Linked DNA regions of Medicago truncatula. The protein of the gene in region 2 interacts with the protein of the main gene of each other region in a pairwise test. Links are inferred from orthologs where the notes say so. Each region holds a gene or a part of one and is shown on either strand. Other genes may lie near its edges.

What was found.
Region 1: the proteins of preprotein translocase subunit SECY, chloroplastic (region 2) and inner membrane protein PPF-1, chloroplastic interact in binary tests that used the Arabidopsis thaliana proteins (3 or more experiments, as listed by UniProt). The link is inferred for Medicago truncatula from reciprocal best matches to the Arabidopsis thaliana genes SCY1 and ALB3.

What each region holds. Positions count from the first base shown.
Region 1 is NC_053045.1:31,731,301-31,735,229, forward strand, and holds the start of inner membrane protein PPF-1, chloroplastic, read right to left. Parts: upstream 2,305-3,929; 5' UTR 2,178-2,304; coding exon 1,863-2,177; intron 1,201-1,862; coding exon 1,090-1,200; intron 907-1,089; coding exon 832-906; intron 707-831; coding exon 646-706; intron 493-645; coding exon 419-492; intron 322-418; coding exon 217-321; intron 1-216. UniProt on the Arabidopsis thaliana protein: Required for the insertion of some light harvesting chlorophyll-binding proteins (LHCP) into the chloroplast thylakoid membrane.
Region 2 is NC_053043.1:26,124,545-26,128,473, reverse strand, and holds the start of preprotein translocase subunit SECY, chloroplastic, read left to right. Parts: upstream 1-1,049; 5' UTR 1,050-1,087; coding exon 1,088-1,257; intron 1,258-1,334; coding exon 1,335-1,842; intron 1,843-3,429; coding exon 3,430-3,729; intron 3,730-3,812; coding exon 3,813-3,902; intron 3,903-3,929. UniProt on the Arabidopsis thaliana protein: Involved in protein export. Probably interacts with other proteins to allow the translocation of proteins across the chloroplast thylakoid membranes. Required for normal greening during embryogenesis. Central subunit of the protein translocation channel SecYE.

The DNA.
Region 1 (3,929 bases), on a different chromosome or scaffold from region 2:
ATTTTTATCAGCAATTGTATTGTACGACATACAATTTAGAATTTTATTGTTTCAGGAACCATGACTGGGAATAAGCTCCAAAAAAAATTATTGTTAAGAGTAAATAGTGTGATGTCTGAAAATCATAGTGTTTGTGTCACAGACTCACAAGTACAAGGAAAAAGAAATAGCCAAATGCAAAAAAATTATTTCGCTTATGAGCAAAGGATAACTTACCACAAATGGAAAAAGCCAAGAAATTCCAGATCCACTTTGTCTAGCAGCAATGCTAGTGGGACCACCGAGAGAAGGGATCCATAAGAAACCTTCTGTTAACAGTCCCTTCAAATTAAAAGTTTTCAATAATTAGCAAAAATCATGTAGTTGTAATTCGTCTATCAAAATCTAAAATTATAATAGTTTATATACCATTAATTACCTCATTTGCCACATTAGATAAAGCTTGGTATAGACCAATCCAGACGGGAATAGTAGCCAAAGTCGGTAAACAACCTATAAAAAATGATAAAATTTCCTTCTATTAAGTACAGCCCAGTTATGATATTGCAAATATTTTGACATCATATTATCACATGTCAAAGCATTATTATACAGAATCAGAGCTGAGAAGAAAATGATAAAGGCAATAGTAAGATATAAGTGTACCTGCCAATGGGTTAACCCCAGCTTGGGTATATAGCCTTGAAGTCTCAAGTTGTATTCTTTCCTTGAAATGAGGGCAATGAAATAAGTAGTTAGAAACAACCATGCTATCATTTTAAGGTACAAAATCAATATTTACTTAAGATTAAATTGGATGCTTAATAAGTAACAAACAGCAACACCCCTCACCTGATTACCAGCATATCTTTGTTGAATGGCCTTAATTTTAGGTTGAAGGTTTTGCATAGCTAGTGTTGATTCAACCTACATGTATTAAATAAAGTCAGAACTTCATTTCATATAACTGAAAGAAAAATCCATTTATGGTTTTTTTTTTTTCCAACTGGCAATCCATTTATGGTTTGTTTGTAATGTTTCAAACGAGGTTATCATAATTTCATGGTTTCAGTAAATTTGCCTATAGAAATTGTTGTAATTTGTACTAACCTGTTGCTTTGTCAAAGGAAGCGTAGCCGCCTTAACAATAAGAGTGAGCAATATGATAGCAAATCCATACGAATAAGGCACATGCACGGCAGACAAACCATCCTTTAATATCTGAGTAACAACAAGCAAAACATTTCCTGTTATAAAATGCAATCCTCCAATTTTATTACAGGAACGTGGAACATTTGTAGGTAGATTTTTTTTCCTTTTTATGGCTATTTTACATGATAACTCTAAAGCAAAAGGGTAAGGGCCAAGTCCATTGAAACTAGAAAACCATTCGAAACAAATAGCATTACTCTTTCCATTTATACGTATACATTTCCATATAACCTAAAAAAAATACACAAGTTTAACTTGTTCAATCAAATTAACAGAAAAAGTAAACAGTAAGTTAGTAACACTGAACACTTTCCCTGCAACATATCATTTCAGGATAAGAAAAAACGGTTCAATCTTCTAAAAAAACTCAACAACCTCAATAATACAAGTTTCATGAATCAAAGAGCAACAAATCCTTTTATAGTAAGGTCATGTTTGGATTGACTTATTTGAGCTTATTTATTGGTATAATCACTTATGAGACTGTTTGGAAGATCTCATAGAAACAAATTATTACATCTCCCAAACTGTTTTCAACTTATTTTCATAAGTTCGGTTTGATTTTATTTCATATATTTTCTTTGGAATGAATTATAAACAAAAATTAGTTAAATTACGAATATTAAGAAAGATAATTGATAAAATTAAAAAGCAGAAGTTGTGAAGATTACCTTAAGAACAAACTCCATACCATCGGAGATGAAACCAAACCAACCTCCGTTCTTCTGCACAGTAACATCCGTGGAAGTGGAAGTAACCGCATCGGCCGTAACGGCGGCATCAGCAAGCGTATAAAGAAGGCCTTCAGCTCTGGCGAAGACACCGGCAACATCAATAGAATGAGTTAAGGATTGAATTGGAGGAATTTGGTGGAAACTGAAGTGAACTTTGGTGTATAGTCTGGTGCGGTTAGGGGAGAAGTTGCGGTGAAGTGAAGGAAGTGGAGTTCCGATGAATGATGGAGATGAAATCAGTGTCTTCGCCATGGATGATGAGAAGGGTGATAGAGAGAGGCTTGAAGGGCGAAGGCTTCAGCTTCTCGTCACAGAATAGAGAAAAGAGATGAGAGGATATTTTTTTGCTATTATCCGAATGAAATGCATTTTGTTTTGCGAGGTAGAGACAACTGCACGATATGGGTAGTGGAAGATTTTCAGCCAGCGACTGTGTGACACGTCATTACATATTATTACCGGTGGTTATTTGCTTCTTGCAATTTTTAGTCAAAAAAAATGTTATTTGCTCTTGCAATTTTTAGTCAAAAAAAAAAAAAATGGAAGGAAACGGTGTTCAATTAAAGAACGATGACTTCAATTTTAGATAATTTTTTATTTTAAAAATATTCACATACATAGAAAACATTACATTGTAAACTTGTGGCATAACATAAATCAAATTATGGAAAATAATAAAATCTCAACGAAAACAACTCCAGATAGTTTGTCACATTGTATTGAGCTACTCTAAATAAAAATTTAAATGTCAATCGCATAAGTGTTTGACTTATTCGTAACTAAATTAAATTTAAGTATATTGTGATGGCATAATGTTGATAACTCCTTCGCTCCGTCTTCACTCTGCTCTTTATATTATGCGTTGTCCAAATCAACTAAGGTCACGAAGACGTCAATCTTCTCTTTAAGCAACACCATCTCATTACCTACACAAAAAATTAAACAAATACTCATAAGAAAAACATACAAAGTGACTAATTATTTCAAGAATATAATTGAATGAAATAAATATCTTAAATATAAGTGGCAATCATCCTAACAACAATCAACATATTAACAAACAAGTGCGCTAAGATTAACGCAAGACGACAATAAACATGGTATGCAAGACTTGACTCGTGTAATCTAACAACATCTACTCCAACATTTTGATTAATTTTACTAAGTTAATGCAAGCCGAGAAGCCAGCATGTCGAAGAGGATAGTCTATTCACAATACATGTATCAGTAAGATGGTCAAAACGCCCCACGATGCTTGAAAAGTTTCAAATTACTTAATTTTATCTATATAAATTATGACAGTTATTGACTTGTTATGCAAGGAACCTGATGATAATCCTTCAATTTAGTCTGAATATTAGATAGCTAGATCATGAGTGGAAATTCATGTACTATGATCTTGTTCAAATGCATTTTTTTAGTATTAAAGAAACATGAATAAAGATCCAAGCAAAAAGGACAAGAAGATCGAGTTCATGCAATTCGCTAGGCGAGCAGAAAGCACACTCCCGACGATTGTCACTAAGATTGGAGTCTTGAAACGGGGCACCATTCAATGTGATGTATTCCAATTCTCATAGTGAATTCTGACAGATTAGTGACTCATGTGAATGAGCTGCTAAAGATTTCAAGGTAAAAAAATCACAATTCTCTTGCCGAGCATACAATTCGTCTAGCAAAATGTCACTTTCAAAAAACTAAATAAAGAGGAATCAGTCACATTGACATTGTTTGTCATTCTATCACTTTGGAAAAGGAGAGAAACGCAAGGATAATAGAGGAGCAAGTCTACAAGCAAGGCAGAGCATTACAACTTGAAGAATAAAGTGTTGACGCAACATCCTCTCTCGTTTCATCTCTTTGTTGTAAGTTACCATGACAATCTCTAACTAAAGCTCTCGTTGTTTTATGATTAGGTCTAGTTAATTACGATTTTAATGTAAATACTTGATATGACTAGTTAAATATAACTTTTGTTTCATTATATCAACGTTATTATTCTTG
Region 2 (3,929 bases):
TTATAACCCCTAAGAAGTTCATATTGTAATATCAATTCCGACAAAGGAGAAACAAATTTTGGCCTATGCAGGCCAATATTTAAACCATTTTGAGCCATTATATTTTCGACCAAATTGGCTATATTGTTATGTACTCCTATGTTTTGTTGTTGGACATTTCTAACAACTTCATCGACATTATTATTTCTATCAACCAAGATCACTTCAGGTTGACCTTGTATTATTGGTTCGACCGGTTGGGGCTGAGGCACAAGTTGTTGCCTCTGAACCATCGGTTCAACTAACCGCAACAGTTGTTGATTTTGTATTTGTGAACCGGTTGGTAAACTGATTGCGGGGGTGCAAAGAAATATGCTATTCTCCTCATTTGTGTGGTTAAGGCTTGGTAACTCCGGTTTGTGTCCCTTATCAAAGGATTAAACACGGTACCAATTTGTTGTGTTAACGAATTAACCATTTCGTGGTTACTCTCATCCATTTGTTGTCTTAACAAATTCATCGAATCTGTTGTCAACCGTGGTAGAGTATTCCGACCGAAAATGCTAGAACTTGAGGGACTATGTACGTTGTGCATTGTGAACGTAGTAGGCTCCTCACTATTGCCTTTGCTCCTATCCTTGGAAGAAGTTTTGAAAGCAAAAGCTTTATTCTCTCCACCAGCGGGAACCTTCCGAGGCTGTGGAGGTAGGTCAGAAGTAAACTTTTCAGTGACCTTGGCACCGTGCAAAAATAAAAAAAATCTTGCGACTTGAAAAACATGATTAAAAACTTCTTTATCGTCTACAAGAAAAAAATCTTGCGACTTGAAAAACATGATTAAAAACATGATATCTAACTTTCCATATATTTTACATTTCATAAACACTTTCCAAAAATTTTAAAATTTATTTTATGAGTTTAACTCACAAAAAATAAAATTCAAATTGCAAAATATATTTTTGGAATTAAAAAACGAGTAAAATTTGAATATGTAAAAAAATAAAAATTCCAAAATTTATTTATTTTAATAATTAATTAATTAATAATAATGTTGAGATATTACAATTTACAATACAATTGTTGGGAAGAAGTGAAGTGGTTGTGGATAATGATGTTGATAACCGTAAAACAAGCTTCCCCTTCTCCCCGGTGGTGTGTTCGGCTTAATAATCGTCCTCTGATACCAAAACCATCTTCTTCTTCTTCTTCTTCTTCTATTTGCAGAGCCACTCTCTCTGTCCGGAGAATATCTACCACTCAACCTCATCTCTCTACCAGGTAAAATCAAATCTGTCTGTTTGTATATTTTTATTGATCATCCATTTTTGCCTCATTTTCAAATGGATTGTATGCAGCTGTGACGTAGCGAATTTCGACCCGTTAGGTATTAACTCTTCTTCTTCTTCTTCTTCTACATGGAAAAATATTGTGAGTTTGTTTGAGAGCTCAGAAAAACCTCGAGGAGGAGGAGTAGCAGCAGCAATAGAGGATAGTTCAATTGATTTTGGTGACTTCTTCAAAGGTCCTCTGCCAGGGAAGTTTCTTAAGCTTTTAGGGTTTCTTGCATTGTCAAGGCTTGGTGTGTATATACCTCTAGGTGGAGTTAACAGAGAGGCTTTTCTTGGAAATTTGGATCAAAATAGTTTGTTAAGCACTCTAGACTCCTTTTCTGGTGGTGGTATTGGTAGACTTGGTATATGCTCTCTTGGTATTGTTCCTTTCATCAATGCACAAATTGTTTTTCAGCTTCTTGCTCAAGTATATCCTAAGTTGCAAGATCTTCAGAAAAGAGAAGGTGAGGCTGGAAGAAAGAAAATTCTTCAGTACACTCGATATGCTTCTGTTGGATTCGCCATTGTACAGGTCAGAAATTTACATTGCAAACTTTGTTATATCGAAAAAGTGTCAATCAATGACATAAATCAAAACATCTTGTATTGAGATATTATCCCTTTCTTCACGAATTCAAATAGTCAAGTGAAAAATGTATTCTCTAGGTCACGAATAAGCCTTTGAATTAGTTATACTAGTAGTAACTTAGATGCTCTAATTTGAGGATGACTGTTTGAAAGAATGAAAACAGGGTAGGGTAACAATAAATTGATTCTTTGTTGTATTTTCTATATTACTTTGTAGAGGAGGGATATACTGATTCCAAGAGTAAGTTTTAAAGTTACTCCAAATCTTAGTCCTCGATTAATTAATGGTTGTGATCAATTACTACCGATCCCTATCATAATACTTTTTCTACTCCTATGTTAAAGCCAGGAATTTTATAGAGTCTGGGCAAAAATTAGAGTGAAGAATTCTTGTGCGCGCGCATGTGAAAATATTGAGTTTGCCCAAACAAAAAAAAGTTTTAGTGGGTTAATGGACTATTGGGTTGGTTGGGCGTAATATGAAAAAAGTAACGATTGAGCCCGGGCGAGTGCCCGAGCTCGCCGGGTGGTGGCTCCGCCCCTGGGTTGTGATCAATTACTACTGATCCCTATCATAAGACTTTTTCTATTCGTTCTTCTTAAACAACCCATGAGACTACACTGGTGAAACGAAAATCTAAAATAAATGGCCTATTCGTGCCACAATGTTGTGTGCCTTGGACAATATCATCTCAGCAAGAAGATTTTTTTTTATTGAATTTGATAAAAGAATATGCCGTTAATTGAATGTATTTTTTTTTACTTCTCTATTCACGGAGATAATTTAAACCTAATTAGAAAATTTGATATGCAAGAAATTATTGAATGATTCGTAAAGGTATCACACCGAATTATATGAGTCCTTCAAATAGCCCTTTGAGGTTGACGGCATATATGCAGGTTCATAAGTGTGGATCTCTTATTCTTTGAGGTTCATAGGTCTCAGTACCTTCATTATTTCAAAGTTTTTTGTTGAGATAATGAATGAAAAATTGTTCTTGTTGAGATAATGTTAAAAGGCATACACTATTTAGTTGAAATTTTCGTCTCACCAATGCTAGGACATTAAGGAAGAAGGAGTAGGAAAAGCTTTATGTTAGGGATTAGTAGTAATCAATCATAACCATTAATTAATTTTGAAATCAAGGGCTAAGATTTAGAGTAACTTTAAAGACTTACTCTTGGAGTCGATATATCCCTCCTCTATTTTGTAATTGCTGCGTTTAGGTTCTTCAAAAAAATAATTTACCGCATTTAGGGAAACTATTAATTGTCCTATTAATGACTCTTGGTTATATAATATCCATCAATATGTAGTTTAGACGCACAAATTCACTTGTATGCTTTCAAGATCTCATTTTTCTTGGGAAGTGTAAATGAGGGAAAACAACACTTGACTGCAGCTCGACCACTGATCGTTTTTTGAACATCCATGCTTTTTGATAGCTAGGTCCAGCACTTACATCACACTTATTACTAATTGTTGTTTTCAGTTTATAATTTTGTTTTTGTTCTTCAATTTTCATTACAGGCGATTGGCCAAGTTCTTTTCCTGCGTCCCTATGTAAATGACTTTACAACAGAGTGGGCTCTTACTTCTGTTATCTTATTGACACTTGGCTCCGTGATTACAACGTACATTGGGGAGCAAATTACTGACCTGAAACTTGGGAATGGAACCTCTCTTTTGATATTCACAAACATTATCTCTTACTTGCCAGCTTCGTTTGGTCGGACATTTGCACAAGCATTTAATGATGCCAACTATGTCGGACTTGTTACCATCATCGTGTCCTTCTTTCTGTTGGTAGTTGGAATTGTCTATGTGCAGGTAAATCTCATTTCAATTGTTAAATAATAAAGAAGTATTTGAACAAACTGAGAGATGTTGATTGCAACACTGATGATTCTCAGGAAGCAGAGAGAAAAATTCCTATTAACTACGCGTCTAGATTCACCAGCAAAAGCGGTGGACTTGAAAAATCTGCTTACCTACCGTTTAAGGTCCTCTCATCTTTTACCAACCTTTTT